Linked DNA regions of Stegostoma tigrinum. The protein of the gene in region 2 purifies or fractionates together with the protein of the main gene of each other region. This does not show direct contact. Links are inferred from orthologs where the notes say so. Each region holds a gene or a part of one and is shown on either strand. Other genes may lie near its edges.

Region 1 (8,084 bases), on a different chromosome or scaffold from region 2:
TTGCATTTTGGATCAGTCTACGAACAATTCAAAAGGTCCTGAACAAAACTGTGCTGATGCCCTCCCAACTGTCTGTGAGACACAGAATATCTATTTTAACATTATAATGTAACTGGACAGGTTCTATGCGAGATCATTTAGACCATCATGAGCAATAAATAGGATAACAAAGTGCTGAACATTGAGTTACTTTAAGAATAAGTGTCTTGAACTGAAATGCTCCAACAGCAGAGTCCAGCTTAGGTGAAATGGGCATGTGGCATTGATGGTTGATAATAAATTCCTTATGATGGTCACAAGTTTATAATCTGAACTTGGACAGAGTCTAACAGGGAGGCCAAAATGAAGGCTCGTGCTCTTTAAAGGCAAACCTCAGAAAATGTTGCATATCTGCCACAGGACGGGAGGAGAAAAAGCTCCTACTCCTCATTCTTATATGCCCCAAGAGAAAAACAAAATTTATCCAGACCATGGTGGTATGGTGGCTCAGTGATTAGCACTGCAGCCTCATAGCACCAGGGACCCGGGTTCGATTCCAGCCTCGGGTAACTGTCTGTGTGGAGTTTGCACATTCTCCCCGTGTCTGTGTGGGTTTTCTCCGGGTGCTCCGGTTTCCTCCCACAGTCCAAAGATGTGCAGGCTAGGTGGATTGGTCATGCTAAATTGCCCGTAGTGTTCAGAGGTGTGTGGGTTATAGGGGGATGGGCCTGGGTGGGATGCTGCAAGGGGCGGTGTGGACTTGTTGGGCCGAAGGGCCTGTTTCCACACTGTAGGGAATCTAATCTAATCAGTGTGGAAAGCCATGCACATCTGCAATAAGGTCCAGAGCCATTTTCCAAAGCACAACAAATGACTTTACACTTTCAAGAAATGGTCATCTTCTACACAATAGCGAGCATAGTTTTTGCTAGTGGGTAGCACTTGTTGAGCTCAACTTGGTTGATTATGGTGTGGCAGATAGCATAGGTCAGAGTGGAAGTCAATACTGGACTAACAAGCAGTTCAGCAGGTAGGGCCAGGAACTGGTGTTTGTCAAAATGTCTGGAAAAAGCTGTTTTGAGACTTCCAGGGGTGTACAAGTCAAATATTGAGGTTGAACAAAAGTTGATGAGTGAAATGGAAGCAGTCATCAAAAATCATACTGGCCACCTCAATATGATTGGCTTGTCTCGACTTGGTCTTTGCTTATTTGTTTCACCACTATCTAGTTTTGCGGAAGTAAAGTGTTCCTTCAAAACAGGATAGATATTAAAGCGAAATTTAGTGTTCCAGATCAGGGAGTAATAAAAGCTTCATGGCCCCCATGCCCAATTGCTGACTAGCCACTCCTGCTTTCAGGAGTGAATGTTCACTGAATTTTGTGAAGGTGGGTTCTAAGCAAATCTGAAAACATTGCTGGAGTAAACAGAAAATATACTTAACGGGTTTCCAGTTACAAGTCAGCAGAAACAAAATTAATTCAAGGTCAGGAAAAAGAACAGAACAGTTTTTGTTTAAACACACAACTGTGAAATCCAAAAAATGCACTAAAGTTTGTATCTGAAGCAACATTTAAGAATAGGTTGGATAGACAGGCTGAGGGCAAAAGATAACATATATTTAAATAATTTGTGTTTGTTTCTGGAGAGGAGAAGGCAAAGCAGAGACTTGATAAGAAATGAAAAACTTCTGAGAGAACTGGGTAGAGTAGATAGAGAGAAATGGTTCCCTCCCCCAAAAGAATCAAGAACGAGAGGCCACAGATATAAGATAATTTGCAAGAGAAGCAACTGTGGTGTCAGATAAATTCAGCAAGTAGCCAGGATCTGGAACACACTACCTCAAAGTATTATGGAAACAAGTTCAATTTAGGCTTTCAAGATGACATGAGATGATCACTTAAATCTAAATAATATTCAGGGTAATAGGGCAAAAGCTATACAGACAATGTTGCTTGGTAAGGAGTATTTCAGCTGTGAAGAGAGGCTGGCTAAGCTCATGTTGTTTTCTTTGCTGCAGAGAAGGTTGAGAGGGGTTTCCTGGTAAAATCTAGAAGATTGAGGGGCACAGACAGCGTGAAAGAAAGCAGCTGTTTCCCCTAGTCAAAAGATCAATAACAAAGGGACATATCTTTAAAGTGCAAGGCAGGAGATTCAGAGATTTAAGGAAAACTTTTTCACCCAGAGAATGGTGGGGATCTGAAATACACTATCTGGAAGGGGAGCTGAGGCAGGAAACCTCACAACAACTTAACAAGGACTTGGATGAGCAATTGAAATGTCATAACATTCAAGACTAATGGGCACAGTGTGGGAAAGTGGGATTCTCTGCATATTTTTGGCAGTATAGACTCAATGGGCTACTTTTGCACTGTATAATAATATGATGGAATGAATATGGACCTTCTGCTTCGCCACAATTCTGCATTCTGGGCAGATGTCAGATGTGAAGGGCTTATTGAGCAGGATAAGGATTGAGGGGGCTGGGCCAAGTACTTATGCTGATTTTTCTGCATTTAACTATCTAAGCAGCAATATGTAATTTCATACCCTAGCACTGGCAATGAAAGTCTTCAGGACTAAAAACGGTGGGGAGGGGGGGCAATGATTCATAGATTGGGAAAGAACAGAAATACAGAGGCCTGTTTTTAAAATAAAACAGTTCTCTAGCAGGTAAACCATATTGTCAGAAAGGGGACGGTGCAAACTGATGCGAATCAGGCAATAAACATATCCAAGCAGTCAGGCCTGACTTTATTATTAGAATCTTGTTGATGATGATGACCCTCTTTAACCAAATCAAACTCTCCCTCAGGATCCTTACCGGGTCTTTTACAGGAAACCCACGCTTCCCTCTCATTCTCCCTGCGGGATAAAACCGAGACGTCATTAATACCCGCACAGGAGTGAAAAGGAACCACAAGAAAAGGTTTGTTAGAAATTCCTAGCCCCCTCAGACACAGTTACCGCAGAGCTCGGACCCAGTCGCTCTGGACGAAGATCCTGCCTCCTGCCATGGCGACGCCACGCTGCCGTAAACCAAGCAGCCGCCGCCACCGTCGCAAAGAGCCCGCTCTTCCACCCACCCCCGCCCCTTGTACAGACACTCCGTGGGAAGGTCTGTTGTCAGTTTGCTGATTGGGTTTACGTGTGCCATGATCACTTCTAACTTTCGTTTTTCTTTAAGATTTTTCAGTTCATTTAAACAGTTTCTTTTTGAAAAAACATCATTGTATTAAACGGCCTACTCACAATTAATTATTTTTCAATTCTTGACAGAAGATACTATTTTATTGCTAACCTGCAACTGTCCTAACTCATCCGGGTTATCTCGCCCACTTCTATGCCTTCTGGCCTTTTCTCCATTGTCCTTTCACTCCAGCAATGATTGCAAGGACTCAACCTCTCTTCCCAAGCATCACCGTCTTGCGGTGAGATTCAAAAGATCGCTAATGAGCTCTTCAACTACATCCTTGGTGACTTTCTTCAACCTCCAGATCAGTGTTTGGCATGACAATTGGACAAATAGAAGTAAGACATCCCCTTAACTTTTCAGAGATTTAATTGACTTCTTCAAGAAAGAGACAAGAGGTGCAGATAAGCGAAGTGCAGCGGATGTAGTTTACGTGGACTTAGGTAAGTCTTTTGACAAGGGCTCGTATGGAAGAATGGTCAAGAGGGCAAAAACCCAGGAATCCAGGTCGACTTGGCAAATTCGATTCAAAATTGGCTTAGTGACAGGGTAAATGTCAAAGGTTGATGATACAGCAGCCCCTAAGTACTGTATTTATCTTGATCTACATCAAATTCTTCAGCTCTGGAGTGAAGTTTGATCTCACAACCCTTTGACTCAGAGACAGCAATATTTTCACTGAAACAAAAGAAAATCCAGTGAATGTTAGACATATAAAGCAAAACAATCCAAGATAATAAAGTGTGAAGCTGGATGAACACAGCAGGCCAAGCAGCATCTCAGGAGCACAAAACAATCAGCATCTTTAAGAACAAAATTAATCTAACAAGTGGGAATCTTGAGCCGTGAGATTGTCAGATGGACTGTGGAGGTTTACAAAAGCTTACAATCACTTTCCTAATGAAAAGTATCAACGGCTAATAAATGCCAATCAGCTCTTTGACTGTGCTGACATGAATTACAGCCATTGAATATATTCGCCTGCTGTTTTAACCCCTCTTATTTGCTCTCACTTCTCCTCATTCTCTGAGCTCTGGACCTGTTTGATGCAGTAAGCTTACAACTGTAGTGAAACCAATATTTCCCTCTTTTTAACTGGTGGAAAGATTGCTTTTTAAAATTTGTTTTGCATATCAATTCTGAATCTGTCCTCCAGGGAAAATACTATTAGCTGCTGACAGGACACAAATGGACATGCCGTGTTTTCAATGGGCTCAGAAAATCTTGGCCAGTCTCTCTATCATGAGCAATTTGCATATCAAATCACCTGGATAGGATCCACAGACCATCTGTCTCCAGCCTTCCATTCTCCAATTTAACTCCTGGTCAGTAGAGATAGCTTTAATTTTAACTTGGGAATTTTCCCAAACTGTAAAACGTCCGATTTGTTACCCTTGTCAAAGACTTTGAAAAGTTCTGTGAGAGTTGTAACATTAAATGTACATTTCTTACAGCATAATTAAATAACTGGTCAAGTACACATTTGGATTGGATCATTGATCCGTTGAAACCAACATCCTGGAACATGACAGGCTTTTCTAGGATTGATGCTCCTGAAATGGTACAACCTGAATAAAGTAGTCCAATGGGGTCTGCATAGATGCTGAAGTGGTATCTTTGCCATGCTTGGATAGAAAATGATGCCAGATTATTTTTAACATGTTTTTTTCCTTATTGCAAGGATACCAAGGACCTTAAAGCTGCACTGTATTAGCATTTGTTAATCAGGGAAAGTACAGCAGCTGGTGTACCTTCCTTGACATATTGATAAACAGGAAAATATAACTTCCATACCAGCTGATGCTAATTCAGTCAAGCCAGAAAAGCAATTTTTCCAACTCTCACATTTTCACATGTAAAACATATGCTTTTCTTTTGCCCAGGAAGAAACTTTAGTGAATCATTCAATTAGTCCTCAGGAACGTACAGCTGAACTTTTTTGAACTAGACAATTTTGCACTGTATAATTTCACTATACATGTTTGGTTAGTAGAAAGACGAAAGCATTTAATTTCAGTAAGAAACACACATGTCCTGTGTGGGGATGTCATTATTTCAAAATTATATTTCATTTATTTTTCTAATGCAATGTGCAAAATTTTATCCATGAGCTGCAAATGATTAACTGAAAATACAGATATGATTAATTACTGTTTAGTTAATAGATAAAGGGTTTTAGATATAGTTGTTGAGAATTTTCTCTTCCTTATTTTCAAATTCCTCCAGGACTTTGCCTGTCCCTACCTCTGTAATCTTCTCTAACCCACAACCCTTAAATATGTAATGTTTCTCTAATTTTAGCCTCTTGTGCTTCCTCAATTTTAATTGTTTCATCATTCATATCCGTGCCTTCAACTGTCTAGCCCTTAAGCTCTGAAATACTCTTTTCTCGTCGTTTCACCTCACCTTCATCCATTCTGTCACTCATTAAAACCCACTATTTTGCCCAAACTTTGGTCATCTGACCAGAAATCCTCAATGGGTTTGGTGTCTTTCTTTTTATACAATACTCAAGTGAAGTGCCTTCTCTTGTTTTATTACATTAAAGTTGCTGCATAGCTGAAGGTTGATACATGATATTCATCTGGTGTAGATACCTATGTTTCAACCTTTTGTGCTTTACATGCTTAAACAGTGTAAGAGGAAAACAGAGTATTTTTTTTTCTCATCTTGAGCATTTTATTCCTTCGGTGGCTGCTTAATTGTTCACTTCTAACATACTGTAGTACACAGGTGAAAAAGCCATACATAAACACTATGAAAACCTTCATAGCGCTGTAAGGGATAAAGTCTTAGGGCGACACAGTGGTTAGCACTGCTGCCTCACAGCGCCAGTGACCCGGGTTGCTATTCCTGTGGAATTTGCATGTTCTCCCTGTGTCTGAATGGGGTTCCTCTGGATTCCTCCCACTATCCAAAGATATGCAGGTTAGGTGGATTAGCCATGGTAAATGCAGCATATTGGGGATTGGGTGGGGGATCGGTATAGGTAGAACACTCTCAGATAGTTGGTGCAGACTTGATGGGTTGAATGGCCTCTTTCCACACTGTAAGAATTTTGATTCTACGTATCATCACGGTGAGCACTAACAGTCTGAATAGCCATTTCAAGTCAGTAGAGGAAAGCAGTTTTCAATAGTTCAGCCGTACCACATAGAGTGGAACTCATAATTTGTGATAATCTGATGAAGTGGTAATTAAAATTGCAAGAGCAGAAAAGGACTCTAACATGTTACATACAGTAGGGGAAATAATGATAAGTCGACCATTTGTTCAGAGCTGAGAAGCTATGGAGAGCTCTTTTATGAGCCAAGTGGTGGCAGTAGAAAGAGTGGTCCACTTAGGCATAGTTTAATGATGGATGTAATAGAGTGGTTGCAGATAAACTAGAGACGAGGGTGAGGATGGGTGTAAGACAGATGCATGTGGTATACAATTGCAAGACATTTCCTGTGGGAATAGCTACAAGCTACAAATCATTCCCAGGTCTGCATGTTGTGTTAATTTGATACTGTAAGGATCACTGTTTGGGCTCCAAATGTTCACATTCTGTATCAATGATTTGAACAAGGAGTCTAATTGGAATATTGCTAGGTTTAGAGATGACACAATATGTTGATGGGTATCTGAATTGTCAGGAGGATGGATAGAGGCTTCAAAGGGATTTAGACAGGGTGGGTGAGTGGTCAAGAATGTGGTAGCTGGAAATGTAATGTGGATGAATTTGAGATCATCCACTTTGTTAGGAAGAATGGAATAGCAGAGTATTTGTTACATGGTGAGATTAAATTCAGAAGTAATACTCTTAATATTTGCATAATACATTCCACATCAGGTTCACAGTCCAAAGGCAAAAATATTTCAAATCGGAAATCATCAAAGAGCAATGGATATTAAATTTTCCTCTCAACACCATGTTTCACTGAGGTACCTTAATACATTTAATACTGTTGATTTACAATGTACATTCTTTGTAAGGCACACAGATTGAGGTGTTCCAGCCTCTCATACACTCTGACTGCAAAGCCTTAGACAATGATCTTTTCCCATTGCATCTCTATGGGGTTGTCTCAGGCAGGACCCTCAGTGTGTAGTCTCAGAGACCTTGGAACAAAAACAGAAGTTGTTGGAAAAGCTCAGCAAGTCTGGCAGCATCTGTGAAGAAAAAATCAGAGTTAACATTTCGGGTCCAGTGACCCTTCCTCAGAACTCATGGTAGCTGGGAAAACATTGCTTTATATGCAGAAAATATGTATGGGGAATAGGATAGGGTAGGGAGTAAACAATAGGATAAAGCCAGAAGAGAGAGAAAAGCAGTTGGATGGACAAAGAAGTTGATAACGATCTGGCTAAGGGGGTGAATAGTTGTTAATGGGGACTATTAGTGACTAACAATAGGTAGTGTGCAATGGCAGGTTATATGATAACAAGGCTCAGTGTGTGGGGTAGGCGGCTGGGACATGGGAGTGTTTAGGCCCTAAAATTATTGAACGCCATATCGAGTTTGGAGGGCTGCAGGGTCTCAAAGCAGAAAATGGGGTGTTGTTCTTCCAGTTTGCATTGAGCATTAGAACACTGCAGCAAGCCAGAGAAAGAGATATTGGCGAGAGAAAAGGGTGGCATGTTAAAGTGGCAGGCAACATCTCATTTTTGCGAACAGAACGTAGATGGCCTGCAAAGCAATCACCCAGTCTACACTTTGATTCCCTGATGTGGAGGAGACTGCATTGTGAGCATTGAATGCAATAGACTAAATTCTGGGAATTGCAGGCAAGTATTGCTTCACCTGGAAGGTATGTTTGGGCCCTTTGATAGTGGGGAGGGAGGAGTCAAATGGGCAGGTGGTGCATCTTCGCCAGTTGCAGGGGAAGTTGCCATGGAGCTGTGTTGCGGGTGAAGAAAGAGTGGACCAT
Region 2 (7,517 bases):
CACTGGCTAAGGTTACCATGAAGGATTCAGATTCTCAACCACTCTTCGCCTTAAGTATAGTAACCTTCAGGTTAAATAACCATCATCTCTCTCTAATGAGACAGCAGCCTTATTGTCTGATATGTTTATAACAGGTTTACTTTTTTTTAAAAAAAGGAGAGTCCTGCTATTCCTGGTAATGTGCTTCTATACTCATTGAAAAATCAGAAGAATGATAGGCAACCTTATTGAAATGTACAAATTTTCTAGGGGATTTGAAAGGGTAAATGTGGAAAAGTTGTTTTACTTCACAGGAGAGAATAGATCCAGGACCATAATCTCAGAGGTTGCACATTTAAGGCAGATAAGGAAGTTCCTTTGAGGGTAGCAAATCTGTGGATTTTTTAAAATTACAGAGGGCAGTCAAGGCTGGACCAAAGTCTATTCTAAGGTAAAATAGATTTATAATCAGTAAGGAAATTGAGGGGTATAGGAAAAGGTGGGAAAACAAAGTTGAGGATTGTCAGCTCAGCCATGATCTCACTGAATGGCAGAATAGATTCGATGGGCTACTTACGCCCTACTTCTGGTGCTTTGTCTTATGGTTTTAGACGAGACGAGAATTCTTTTCACTCAAGCTTGAGCGCCTTTGCATCACTTCCTGAAAGGATAGTGGAAGCAAAGTCCTTGACTATTTTAAAAGCAGAGGTTGACAGACTCTTGTCAAGCAAAGTCATAAATAAGGGTAGGCAGGAATGTCAAATTTGAGATTCTGACCAAATCAGCTGAGATCTTTCGGACGGCAGGGCAGGCCTGAGGGACTGAATGGCCTGCACTTGGGTCTAACTCATGTTCATATGCTAAGACAAAAGAAAAACATGAAATGCTCAAAATTCACAATATATCAGGTCACAACTTTAAATGAGAAATGCAATTAACATTTCAGGCCCTTAAACTTTAAAGTGCATGATGGCTAAAAACAAATTTGGTCTCCTCAGCACAGGCAGCATTTGCGACAAGAATTTCCAATAGCTAATTAACCCAGACATCAAGACCATCTGACCTCTGCAGCTTGACACATTACATGATGCATTAAGTCTGATCAACTAAATTGTTCAATGAATTTATGAGCAACAGAACAAGTTCGTTCAGCCACTTTTGCATTATTGCACGCAGTTCTGGTCTCCCTCCTAATAAGAAGGATATTGTGAAACTTAGAAAAGATTTACAAGGATTTTGCCAGAGTTGGAGGGTTTGAGCAAAAGGGAGAGGCTGAATAGGCAGGGGGCTATATTCCCTGAAGCGTCGAATGCCGAGGAGTGACCTTACACAGGCTTATAAAATCACAACGGGCATGGATAGGGTAAATAGACACGGTCATTGCCCTAGGGTGGGGGAGCTCAAAACTAGGTTTAAGGTGAGGGGGCAAGATATAAAAGGGATCTAAGAGGTAACTTTTTCCACAGAGAACAGTGCATGCTTGGAACAAGCTGCCAAAATGGAGGAGGCTGGTACTAATACAACTTTTAAAAAGGCAACTGAATGGGTATATGGAAAGGAAAGACTTAGAGGGATATGATCCAAATAGTGGCACATGCGAGTAGATTTATACAGGATATCTGGTCAGCATGGACAAGTTGGACTGAAGGGTCTGTTTTCATGTTATATATCTCTGACATTATGACTCTATGAAATGTGAAACTGTGAACATCCTGTCCCATGACTTTGTTTTGTACCTGGCAAAATTGGCAACTTTCCATAAGTAACAAAAACAAGGATATTTGTCATAAGCAATGTCTCCACCCCTAGCAATCACAAACAGCATACAATCTAACCCTGTTCCCCTTTCGTTTAAAGAAAAAGGCCACATACACACACAGTAATTTCAAGGGGGCAACCAGTACCCATGAAGTTTCAAACTACTGCACAGCTCAGAACGTTCTGAGGAAGTGTCACCAGACCTAAAGCATGAACTCTGTTCTTTTCTTCACAGATGCTGCCAGACCTGGTCTTTTCCAGCAACTTGTTTTTGTTCCTGATGTACAGCATCCGCTATTCTTCGGTTATTGTTTAGACAAAACTTTGGTTAGAAACTCCGTTCCAACTGAAACAACTACTACACCATCACCTGCAAATTCCATTCTCACACCAACAGTGTCCCCCCCTCCCCTCCAACTCCCGGTCCCCACCACTGTCTTCACCCAGCCTGCACGACACAAACTAGCCAACTCAACACCCTTTCTACAACCACCCTATCACATAAATAGCCAATTCACCAACCTCTGAACTCTCAACTCCCCATCCGCTCTAAATCCATACACCAACTATCACATTAAGAAAAATTAACCAACTCCTTCACATACGACCTCCAAACAAAAGACACCACCCAAAAAAATGTCCCCCTACACTCAACCCTACAACCCCATAACTCCTTACTTCATCCTCAAACATAAAGCCATTCCTACTCAAAATAATTTGTGATTTAAGCCCTTCTCTCGCGCCCCCCCCCCCCCCCCCCCCACTTCCTTACCCAGCCTCCAGCCTCCTTCCCAACGCATTCACGCACCCCCCCATCCCCCACAGCACCTCATCTCCCCACCGTAACCCCTTCAGTACACTAGACTACCCCTTCCCAATCCCGGCTTTGGGGGAGGAGTGTGAGGACGGGCTTGTTTCCTTACATCCTCCACGGTGCCGGCGGTGCGGTCCTTCCAGCAGAAGTGAATGAGAGAGTCATCAGTCTGCTGGATATAAACCTGCCCCTTGCGCTTGTCCGGAGTCACTGTCGAGCCTTTCAGCGACATCTTGCCGGCTCGGAACTCCACCAGGTATTTACTGGAAGAGCCACGGCTCCCAGCTACCAGGCTGGGGAACAACGCTCCTGAGGCCGACATGACGGAAAATTAGACCAGACACCGCTTCTGCCTCTTTTTCCCTTCCTTTCTTGAATTTAACGTCCACCGAAAGTCAGCACCATGTAACGGCCGCCACAACCTAACCTGAAACCACCCTCCTCAATCCCCATTGATTTACTCAGTCCCCGCCTAGCTTATTCTGGCTCCTGAATGGTTAACCCAACCGTCAATCATCATGACGTAAGCCATCCTTTGTCATGTTTGGTTGAGGCGCAGCTGAGCGGAAGTGCTGTGTCATTGGGCGCTATGTGCTGCCTCCTAAAGCTGTAGAGCGGTATTGCACTTCTCTGACATGTATAGAAGATCCCAGCTCCACTGTACTCAAGGGCTGGATATTTCATTCGCCAGCAGATCAGCTGCTTCAGTCTCAACGACGATATAGTCCTGGAGATAATGGGAACTGCAGATGTTGGAGAATCCAAGACAACAAAGTGTGGAGCTGGATGAACACAGCGGGCCAAGCAGCATCTCAGGAGCTGCTTAGCCTACTGCGTTCATTCAGCTCCACACTTTGTAATCAACGATATAGTACGATCTGCCTGTATAGCACATAAGACGACACTTTTCATTGTACTTTGGTGCACGTGACGGTAATAAATCAAATCAAACAAAGCCATATTCTAAGATAAAAAGGTGTGGAGATGGATAAACACAGCAGGCCAAGCAGCATCAGAGGAGCAAATTTCTGAAGAAGGGTCTAGGCCCAAAATGTCAGCCTTCCTGCTCCTCTGATGCTGCTTGGCCTGCCGTGTTCATCCAGCTCTACACGTAGTTATCTCAGATTCTCCAGCATCTGCAGTTCCTACTACCTTCACAGCCATATTCTAGCCTTAAGGCACAGGAACCAGACAAAAACACACTACAAAAACTAGTCCTTGCCAGTGTTTATACACCACATCGGCTCTGCCCAGCACATCTACACAGCAATGTTGGAGGATTCAACTGAGGTATTCAAAAGAGAATTGGATAATTGGTTGATTTAAAGTAATTTGCAGATCTACAGGGGAAGGGCTTAGGAACTACTCTTCCAGCAAGATGGTAAGCAGATAATGGATGTTGAATTGCCTCCTTTAACACAGTGCACACTTTTTGATTATATGATATTAGGGATGCCCATGACTAAGCAGCACAAAATGGCTGATGGCTGTCCATGGCTAATGCAGCAGAACATGGCTGACAGTAGTTGGAGGTCTTGGGAAAATATTTGCTTAATGTGGTCTTTGCAAGTGGAACAATAGTAGCTCTGTAGACTCATGATTACTGGACTCGGATAGAATATGCAGCTGCAGTTGCTCATGCACAAGACATAGAACGTTTCACACTAATTAGTTGTTTCTCTTGAATTATGAAATCATTCTGTGATAATACTAAGAGTAGGTTTTAGTTAAGATTCCTCAAATAATCATATAGATTCCAAAGCAATTATAGATTCACCTATCTACAAAAAAAAATCACTAAAAGCATTACAAGCTCCTAAGATGCTGCAAGACCAGCTGTGTTCATCCAGCTCAACACTTTGTTATCTAGAAGAAAAGATTCAAACAAGTTTCAGACAGTAAAGCAGCACCACCCCTCCACCCCCTCCCCATATCATTCCAGGGAGAAATGAATCAAAGGTACAGACATTAGCAGACACTGGAATGTGGATTGAATCAACACATTAAGACACAACTTGTTGGCTAAACAATTCTAATATTAGGTGTAACACATAACTTGGTTTGAAATGTTCAAAAATCAACATTCTTTTTATTTCCTGTAATGAGGAGCTTAAAAGCTCCTGAAGTGACAGGCAAATATCCAATTAATTGGCAGTTAACATGGAGCAGCTGGCAAATGTTACTTGAATACAACGTCCATTCTGAAAAGCTTCAAGAAGGAAGATAAAGTCTGGGAAACATCATGAAGGAGCGGGGGTGGACCACAAGCCTGTCCTTCTCTTTGTTACTCAGTGATCATACGACACCAGGTTATAGTCCAACAGGTTTATTCAAAAACGTAAGTTTTTGGAGTTCTTACTCCTTCTTCAGGTGTTAGTGAGAGAGGTAGTATCAGGCACGGAATTTATAAGTAAAAGATGAAAGGATCACACCATTGATGAGGATGTACTAAACAAACCTAAGATGCTGTTAAATCTTTAATCAATTCGAAGGTTTTAATTGATTAATATGAATATGTAATTGCCCGAATTTCTTTGAAGTCACCGTCCTGAGAGAACTAAAGGTCTTACCTTACACCTAACATATATTGTCTGACCTAAAATGTCACCTCTTCGTTACACTGACAAAAACCTTTAGTTCTTTCAGGACAGTGACTCAAACTCTCATTGGAAAATATGAGAGCTAACATATGACCTTGTCCAAAGACCACTTTCCTTTATATCACACAAACCATGATTTTCTTTATCCTTATTCACATACAAAGCTTTATCTTAAACGGAACAATTTTTTATATTTTAATGATTCCATGTAGCTGACCTTCATTTTCTCCCTATGCTCTGTGTAACATAATTCACCCTAAACTCTTTAAGTGATCAATAGGTGGCCACTTTATACTGTTACGTCCTCTTGTTCTGGGTTCCACACAATTTGAAACAGCTTCTTCAAATTCACCTTGTGAAACCTATTCCCAAGTTTAAAGACATAATTCAGTACAACTCCACTGGAGTGCTTAGCCTAGATTTTGTTCTCCTAGAGATTGCAGCAATACTTAGGCTGACAGTCCAATGCAGTACCCAATGAGTGCTACACTGTGAGATGTACTGCCCTCCTTTACACAAAGGTCCCATATGTTCTCTCAGGAAGTTATAAAAATTCAGTGGCAGTGTTTCAAAGAGCATGGGAGAACTCCACGGTGTCTTGGTCAATGTTTCTTTCTCAATAAATGCCTCTAAAAACAAATCCATTCCTCATTATCACACAATAACTGCAGATGCTGTAAATCAGAGACAAAACAGAAATTGCTGGGAAAGCTCAGCAGGTCTGGCAGCATCTGTGGAGTGAAATCAGAGTTATCGTTTCATTAACTGAGCTCTGATGAAGGATCACTGGACCCGAAACATTAACTCTGATTTTTCTCCACAGATGCTGCCAGTCCTGCTGAGTTTTTCCAGCAATTTCTGGTTTTTGTCGCTCAATATCACACTGCTAATTTTGGAATTTATTGCATGCAAATTTGTTGCCATTTCTCCCATGTTATAACAATAATTGCACTTCATAAAGTATCTAATTGGTAACAAAATGCTTTGGGTCATCTCAAAATCATGTACTACAGGAATGCAAGTGTTTCATTTTCCTAATAAGAATGCTTTGTATTTTATTTTTCCAGAGAAAAGATCCACAGATTGTTCAATCTTTCCTGACAGTTGCATCTATGTAATTCCATTAACACTACATAATTATTTGCTACTCTTTCTGCAATGCTTCAATGTCATTTTCATAATATGGAGACCAAGGCAGTACATAGCATTCAAGTATAAAGCTAATGTTTCTCATAAATATAACAGATTTTATTCTATTTCTTTAGGCATGTACTGTACTTTATTTGCATCCTTTCTGGCCATAGCCACTTGCATTTTGACTTGTAGTGAGGTAGGCATCTCACATTGTAATTGATCATCCTGCATTTGTAGTAAACATTTTACGATCATCATGTTCTAAATATAGTCATGAGACTTCACCTGCGTTCAAAGTGCAAAAAAGTCATGATGCTAAGATTTCTCCTGGCTGTTCAGTTCGTGATATTTATTGCATTTAATCAATACAATATTCGAGCCAAACGAATAAGTAAGGTGTTTGGTTCACTAGACTGATATAGAAACCACAGATCGGAAATGTGTATACACTATACGGCTATAAGTCTGAGGTCGTTTACTTTGAATCTGAAGAAAACAAATCAAATAATTTTTTTTACCAGCAAGAGACCAGGAGCGAGGGAGAGGCAAAGTCTCATGTGCATAAATCATGTAAATTGTGTGCAAGTACAAACTATGACCACAAAATACCAATGGACTCTCAACCCTTATCTGAAGGAGACTGGCATTCCAAAGTGTGAAAATGAGTCTTCAGTCATTTATACAGAACTATGTGTCGCATTCAGGAAGGAAGACACAGGAACGGTATAGCAGAGTGTCACCGGAATGACATTGCATCTTAAAGGGTTAAATTATCAGGACAGATTTCATAATAATAAGTATTATTTATAATCTTGAGGAATAATCTAAATGAGGTGTTTAAAACAATGGAGAGACTTTTTTTCTTTGGATGAAGAATGGAGAGCAAGAGGACTTAAGCTCAAAAAAGATCATTTAAGAGTGAAAGTAAGAAGCACACTTTCACACAAAGATTAGTGTAAATCTGGAACTCTGTTCACTAAAAGAGATTGACCAGCATCCAATGTCAAATTTTCAAATCTGAGACTGATTTTTTGTTAGGCAAAGATGTCAAAGGATACTAAATTAATGTGAAATAAGGTGTGAAAGATTTTGATAAGACTGAATACAATGTTTTCTCTTGTGGGAAAGACTATTACTAGAAACCATCAAACAAGATAGTCTGCAAGAAATTCAACAGAAAATTTAGAAGCAAAATCTTCACCAAAACAGTAATAAGAATGACCCTTTTCTGA

The links. Proteins that work in one complex are often made in the same cells at the same time.
Region 1: the proteins of adrm1 (region 2) and proteasomal ATPase-associated factor 1-like purify together in Homo sapiens (affinity purification with mass spectrometry; 3 studies listed by BioGRID and IntAct, counting the BioPlex papers as one, with this or other methods). This does not show direct contact. The link is inferred for Stegostoma tigrinum from reciprocal best matches to the Homo sapiens genes ADRM1 and PAAF1.

The regions. Positions count from the first base shown.
Region 1 is NC_081359.1:91,970,682-91,978,765, reverse strand, and holds the start of proteasomal ATPase-associated factor 1-like, read right to left. Parts: upstream 3,032-8,084; 5' UTR 2,996-3,031; coding exon 2,946-2,995; intron 2,844-2,945; coding exon 2,803-2,843; intron 1-2,802. UniProt on the Homo sapiens protein: Inhibits proteasome 26S assembly and proteolytic activity by impairing the association of the 19S regulatory complex with the 20S core.
Region 2 is NC_081372.1:18,362,008-18,369,524, reverse strand, and holds the start of adrm1 (proteasomal ubiquitin receptor ADRM1), read right to left. Parts: upstream 3,008-7,517; 5' UTR 2,874-3,007; coding exon 2,661-2,873; intron 1-2,660. UniProt on the Homo sapiens protein: Component of the 26S proteasome, a multiprotein complex involved in the ATP-dependent degradation of ubiquitinated proteins.